2 linked regions of the Drosophila melanogaster genome follow. The protein of the gene in region 1 interacts with the protein of each later gene in a pairwise test. Each region holds a gene or a part of one and is shown in the gene's direction. Other genes may lie near its edges.

What was found. The genes of interacting proteins can lie anywhere in the genome.
Region 2: the proteins of Vlet (region 1) and Setd3 interact in a two-hybrid assay, tested with the Drosophila melanogaster proteins (one large-scale study listed by BioGRID).

The regions. Positions count from the first base shown.
Region 1 is NC_004354.4:11,676,814-11,680,401, reverse strand, and holds Vlet (valette), read left to right. Parts: upstream 1-1,850; 5' UTR 1,851-1,967; coding exon 1,968-1,999; exon of another isoform or gene 2,000-2,052; coding exon 2,053-2,737; 3' UTR 2,738-3,058; downstream 3,059-3,588. UniProt on the Drosophila melanogaster protein: Scaffold protein in the commander complex that is essential for endosomal recycling of transmembrane cargos; the commander complex is composed of the CCC subcomplex and the retriever subcomplex.
Region 2 is NC_004354.4:6,966,997-6,970,751, reverse strand, and holds the start of Setd3 (SET domain containing 3), read left to right. Parts: upstream 1-2,001; 5' UTR 2,002-2,159; coding exon 2,160-3,028; exon of another isoform or gene 3,029-3,755. Other genes in the region: CG4586 (uncharacterized protein), read right to left, coding at 1-734. UniProt on the Drosophila melanogaster protein: Protein-histidine N-methyltransferase that specifically mediates 3-methylhistidine (tele-methylhistidine) methylation of actin at 'His-74'.

The DNA.
Region 1 (3,588 bases):
GAAATATTTGTCATTGCAGCAATTATTTTCTGCTTATGTAGAAATTTTAATAACAAAGTCTAGATAAAAAATTGAATCATTTTTATAAAATCGCAGCCTGTAGAAATCTAAGTTAATAAATAATAATAATAGTTATGACTGTAAAACTCGCAGCTGTTAGCAGAAATTCTATTTCAACAAGTGTATGGTTCTATAATATATTTATAATTTAACATTTATCTTGGAAAATAAATAAGATGAATATCTTTTGAGTAGATAAAAGGTGATTTCGAATTCGTGGTGGCGATGGCATTTAGAGTTTTATTTTTCTTAATTGGATTAACTGCTGTTTTTACAGCCCGACAGCAAAACAAAACGTAAAACAAAGGTAAGAAGCGAAGAAACCCCAATATTTTTCCAGCATAAATATGCTAAACTGCCATAATGAGCGGAAAATGCGATAAAACCGAATATAGAGAGGAAAATAACGGAAAAGAAAAGCGGGGAAACTGAAACCAAACGATTCTTTTTATTGTTTGGCTAAAATTGATTGCATGGCTAGATTATTGCTGTTGGAATTGGAATTGTTTCTGTTTTTGCAGCTTTGCCTTTTGCATGCCGCGATAAAAAGTATTATTTTTAATTTCCCGTATCAGGCGTATGCATGTGTCTGTGTGTGTGTGTGTGTATGCATCACACGACTCCGCCGGAGAGAGTGTGAGTGTGTGCAAGGGTGGCTGAAAAGGGGAGAGCGATAAAAAGGGGCTGCAAAATGCAGACGAAGCATAAAATAAACAACCGACGACGCGCTATCGATTTTTACGGCATGCTGGAAGCACCAGCACACTGATACACACAGTTTGCAGAATAGGGAAATAAACTGGAAGTTATGCTATGCCAAATTGAGTTTTTTCAACAAAAATTCCTCGCAGAGAAACGCGAAACGAACTAGTGGAAGACTAAAGAGCCGGGTTTTGTTTATTTACACAGGAACAATACAATCGCACGCAGCCAAAGACACACATACGTATACCACATACACATGCATATATCCCGACGCACTGTTCCGTTAGTTTAGTTGGGGTTTTTGTTTTTCTCGGGCTTTCGCTGAAACCTTAGCTTGAAATCCTTACTTTTAAGATGCTGACTATTTTTTATAATCGGTGGTTGGTTTTGCTTCCAATTTTCCGATCCCGAGTTCCGTTTATCATCCGCTCCGCTGCGCCTGTTTACCCCGCTTTTACACTTTTCCGTTTCGCTGTAGCTCAACGAACTCGTCGCTCTCCTTGCTCCGCGCACTTGTCAAGCTTTCCCGACTGCAACTGCACTCGAACTCGGGGCGTGGGTGCACTCGCTGCGCCTTAAAAGTGCATCTTTCGCAGCCGAATCAGCGGAAAAATCTGCATTAAGTTAAGCCGCGTTTCCAATACACAAATACTGCTTATCGATTGTTGGCGCTATCGAGCGGAGCATCGATAGGCATCAGCGGAGTTGCCAGGTAGGACGATTATATTAATGAGTTGGAAAACTATTCGTACTTGATAATCTTCTACAAATTGAATCGTCGATCGTCGGTGCCGTCGACAATCTGGTATTGATATTTGCTGGTGCGGCTTTTTTTCACGAATTTTATTTTGCAGGAAACATAACAGCAAATATTATTTAAAACATTGTAATTTTATAAGGTAAATTATTCAGGCCTAAATACAGAAAAATAAATTAATTTAATAAAACATTTAAATCTAAAAAATTAATAAAGAATATGTTTAAAATCACATCGCAAAATGTAATATTTTTGTATTTTAGTCAGCACTTACCGTTATTATTGGCAGTAGTAACTGTGTGGCAGCACCGCACCGTGGCAAGTCGATAGTTTTTTGTATATTGTTGGTCTGTATAAACAAATAATATTAAAGTCATAATAAAAGAAGTGCTGGTAAAGACTTAATAACTCTATGTTCCTTAAAAATTTTTAAATATATCTCACAATGAGCATTAACTGGATAAAGATCACGGAAAGGTATGTAATATCAATGTTCTTATAGAGATTAATTTCTTGCATTTATATCTTAGAGCCCGTGAGGGCATCAAAATCATCAATGCCTTGCCCTACGAGACCTTTACGACGGTTCTGTTCTACACCCACCGGCAGATGAGTCCCAGCGTAGCATCGGCGAGTGCCACCAGTAGTACAGTGGGCACCAGTGTGACGACCACCGGCCGGGTGGACAGCAGCACCGAGGAGAACCCCACAAGTAACACCGAACCGGAGTACACACTCGAGGAACTGGAGCGATTGGTGGGCGTACCGCGTCAGGACTTCCTGCTGCTGATCAAGACCTTCTCCTACATCCTGCGTCGCATCTCCACGTTTATCATCAAGCCAAGTTTGCTGCAGCGTGAGCTGCGCGAGAAACTCCAGCTGGAGGATGAGGCCAAGATCGATGCCATATTGCGTTTGTGGGTGCGCGAAACGACGCCCATTATGAACAATTTGGCCAGCAAGCGGTACGAATCAAATGTCATCGAAGATGTGGCCTGGAAGCTCAACATGGAGATCTCCTCGCATTGCCAGCAGCGGGAGAAGACCCCGCTGGCCGTGCTCCAAATGAAAACGGCCGTCGGCGAGGATATCAACATCGAAATGACACAACCGGAACTAATGGAACTGTACAATCAGTTCGAGAGCATCCAGGGCGAACTGGACGCCATGCTGGCCATGAAGACTACAGGAGCAACGGCGCCTGGCAATCAGTAGTGGGACGCCATCGACCAATTCCAGTGCCAATTTTATTGTTGATTCACACAAAACTCTGTGCAAAAAGATGGACCTAAAAGTATGCAATACTAACACGATCGTAGCCAAATGTTAAACACGTTTTTTTTTGTTTAATTCAGTAGGGTTTTTCCTATGTTCTGGCTAATTTTCCGAACGTAGCCAAATTTTTACTAGAGTAAGAGTTCGGCTTTGATTTATAAAACGTTGCAATGATTAGGATCTTCCAAACAGGACTAGTTTTTAAGTTTTAGAACTTACCCTCTGCAAAATAATAAATCCTTTAATAAATTTAGATAAAACAATGTGTGGCACATTTTACAGTACACTTTAATGGATCTCTGCATGCGTTTTACTCGTCTGCTCCACCTCGGATCATAATTCTACTGATAAACATTACAAATTATTACAATGATATATATTTAATATATGTCTATATTGTATATGCATATGTTATTCATCGGCCTTAGTATGCGTGTGTGTGTGTATAATGGAGTCGTATATTATGTATGCATTATACAGACTTTCTAGTTTCATCTTCTCAAACTTTTGCATAATTATGCATATGTATTTATTGTTATTACGGGAGGGCGGGGATTTTGGGTTGCTTCGTATTCAAATTAGGGGCTTCGTTGTATTTTTCACTAATCTAGAAGCAAAACGATTTCTATTGCACTCTTTCACAGTTCGGTTAATCATTTCAACTAAGTTTGGACAAAATACAAATGTATGCAAATTATTTGGACTACAATTTTCATTAAAATGTATTGCTATTGTTACATTTAGTTGTCGTGTGTGTAGGTGTTGTTATCATTTTTCCTTTTTTGCTTTGG
Region 2 (3,755 bases), 4.7 Mb from region 1:
CCTATATCGCCCACATCGACTCCAGTCAACGGTTCGTGTGTCCTCTCGTCCCTGATCCTCACCACAAATGATTGCAAGCCATAATGCTTGCCCTTCACATATAGCTGGGCCAGCACAATGGCCACATTGGCGGTATTACCAAGTCCGCCGGGCCACCACTTGTATGAACTTTGCGTTGGGGTGTTCAGGATGAATTCCTGCGTGATGGGATCGTAGTCGGCTCGGGTTTCCAGGCCCCGGACAAAGGTGCCGTGACCCAGCTCCGTTTGCGCATAGGTGCCCAGGACGCCGTCCATGTGCCAGGATCGATTGAGCCACTGGGCCTGCTGCTCCTCGGTTCCCTGGCTCAGCAAGGTGGTCATGAACATGGAGAAATGCACCCGAAGGGGGAAGCTCTGCTGGAAGAGGCCCGTGCCCAGGGATCCGGAGAGTAGCAGCCGAAAGTCCCTCAGCATATTCACACTAAGCTGAAGTTGTGGCTGCTTCTCCCGCTGCCATTGGCGCAGTTTGGCCAGGAAGCGTGTGGATCGGGCCACGGTCTGTTCGTAGCGCTCCTTGTATGACAGACAGCTCGGATGCACTGGCTCCGCGAAGTCGGGATCCTCATAGAAACGCCTTTCCAGGGCGCGGCGCTCCTCCAGCTGCCCAGAGCCACCCGCCCACCAGCGGGCAAAGTCCTCGCTGTCCAAGGTGGCCGCCGCCCGCTCTCTCTGCAGATCCGCATTCACAGACATGATCGCTCTATCTCTCCTTCCCGATCTCTCTTTTCCTAGAGTTTTACTTTTCTACGGGATTTCCCAACTTCTCTGCTCGAACGACTCGATTGCACTGAGAAGTTGGTGGCTGGAAGAAACAGTTCTGCAGCTCGAAACATGGCAGCCAGGTCACCAAAGGCGGGGATAGCAGGGGAATATGGTTGGTTATCAGTGATCCGAAATTAAAGATGAGTTGCCAATTAATATACCGGGATTCTTTATACATTTACCACATTATACTCATAAAGGATGCAGTGTATAAGCTATTTATGGATAACTTATACAGAAGAGGCGATCTGGAACCCCTTTGGATGGTCCATCCTGCCTACGCCTTTGGAGCCCCACCACTGCCTCTCTTTCGCGCTCTGCCCGCTGGTGCTCCAACCGCCGTTGTTGCTGCATTGGAGTCACTGAACTGAGAACTGAGCCACTCTCAAATTGCTTGAGCGCCTTAGGGTGGACCATATTCCGTATTTGTCGAAAGTTTCTCAAACTGCGTCTTTCTTACAAGATGCACTTATCATGTTTTAGATTTCGTATCCTAGGTTGTATATTTGGACGGAATTTGTTTCTTACTATTAACTCAAACGCTGATTTGTGTGTTGGTCCACCCTAGCCAAAAATGGCACAAAGTGCGTAAACATCTGATGAGCGGCATTATCTCCTAGTTTTTTAGTTCAAGTTTTTTTTACCGTAGATAAGAAAATCGTAAATATTTCTTGTTGTTTTTGTTTTGCAAAAACCCACAAAGCTCAACAAACAATTATTTCTTTTTCGTACAATAACATTTTTATTTCGTGGATTTCTTGTTATCAACATAACGTTTCTCAATTGGATGACGTTTAGAAAATCTAAGATAACCCTATGGGCCATTGTCAAATTGTTTATAAATAGAAACTAAAAGACATGGAAAGAGCGATTTTATTTATATAAATAAATAAATATATTATTATACATACGAGCTTCTGCAACCTGGATTTTAGGACAAATTCTCAATTTAAATTTCCCGCTCTTCAAGAATGCAACATAAAATATAAAAAAACACTGGCCATTTTAATAACTATAAAGAGTAATTATTATAATATTATTGATGTGCCAAAAATGCAACGTGAATTACAATTTATTTTACAAGAAAACATAAGTTTTGTAATAAAAAAAAGCTTAGGAGTACCCCTATTAAAAAGTTTTCAGCATAAAAGCTCGTCGAATGTGTGACCAATTGTCGGAGTAATTTAGTGGCGCCCGACGAATGGCCACACTGCCGGCCAGCTGATCGCCCGCGTGCAGATTTCTCGACTTTATTTTCCTTATTTGGCTGTTGTTGTTTTGGGCCGCCGGTACCGCTTAGCTTTCTGTCTTCCTCTCTCTCTGTCTTTCTCTCTCGCTCCCACCAACGGCACCGCCATGGGTAAGAACACGAAGCGCAACAAGAAGACAAAACAGCAGCAACAGCAGCCACAACAAAACGGAGTAACTGCATCCGCATCCGGCACAGCAGTCGAGGATTTTGAGGACCAGCAGGCGGCCAGTTCGTTGCCCAGTTTAAACGGCAAAAAGAGGAGCCAACTAAACAAGCTCGTCGAGGAACTGCTTGACTTGGTGGAAAAGCAACCGGCGAATCCCAACGAGGAATGGAAGCAGTACGGGCAGCTACAGGAGCTGCTCAAACAAATCATGATCCTGGAGGAGCCACTCAGCCAAGCAGTGTGTCCGCAGATCAGCGATTCCCCCGACGATCAGACCCGTCTGGCCAAAGTGGAGGCGTTCAGTGCGTGGGCCAAAGATGGCGGAGTTCACAGTGAGGGACTGGAGATAGCCATCTTTCCCGGCTACCAACTGGGTCTGCGGGCCACCCGACCGTTGGCCAAGGATGAGCTGGTGCTCAGCGTGCCCCGGAAGCTCATCTTATCCGAGGAAAACAACTCCGATTGCCGCCTATTTGGCAAAATGACGCAGGCCACCCACTTGAACCTGGCCTATGATCTGGTCATCGAGAAGATCCGTGGCGAGTTCAGCGAGTGGCGGCCCTACATTGATGTTCTGCCTGCCAAATACAACACCGTGCTATACTTTACCACCAAGCAGATGGAGCTCCTCCGGGGCACCGCTGCAGCCGCTCTGGCAATGCGTCAGTGTCGCGTCATCGCCAAGCAGTACGCCTTCCTCTACAAGTACGCCCACACCATGACTGAGCCGAGCACCGGGAACAGGAGCCATCCGGGCGAAAGAGGCCTCTTTTTCACGCAGCACGGACTCTGCTACAAGCTATACAGGTGAGTTTCGATTGAGATTTGGGATTGCAATAAAGGTGCTAAAGGTGCCTTAAAAAAATATCGCTACTTTTAAAGTTTGTTCTACTAAGTTTAAGAAGAAATATGATTCTGTGCTAAAAAGATGGCTTAAGGCCAAGTTTTCTGCTCTGAAGATCTTTTCAGTTGGCCTAGAAATAGAAATATTGTATACCTTTCCGGAATTCCATTTTTAAATCCTGCCCTCGTGTTGATCTTTCCCTAAGTGTGTTTTTCGGTTTAGTTTGGGCTTGTTTTTGCTGCAGAGAGGCCTCTGAATCTGCCAGTTGTCCCACTGGCCATAAATTACATGTTCACTTACAGCTGGTGCTGTTTGTTTTAAAGCGAGAGTAGATGCATATGGCCAGATTGCCCGACCATTGTTGACCTTCCCGTCTGGCATTGTGATCGCATTGTTTTGCCGAAGATCTACGATCTATTTACGGATCCGCTTCCACTTGCGACGGCTGGGTCATGGTGCACTGGGATGGGTCTGGTTGTGGTTGTGGTTCTGGTTCTCCACTCGCTTCTGTATTTATAGTGCCGCGATTTCGACACCAATCTTCGGTTGTGGTCGAAAACCCCAGCGAGTCATGCGGTTAGTCAAGTGCTTTCGAAATGCTTGAAATCTTTGCCACAATTTGTTCTACATTTTATTTCTCAAAAAAATCAAATTGAAACTTATTTACATACATATTTGAGCGTGCTTAAA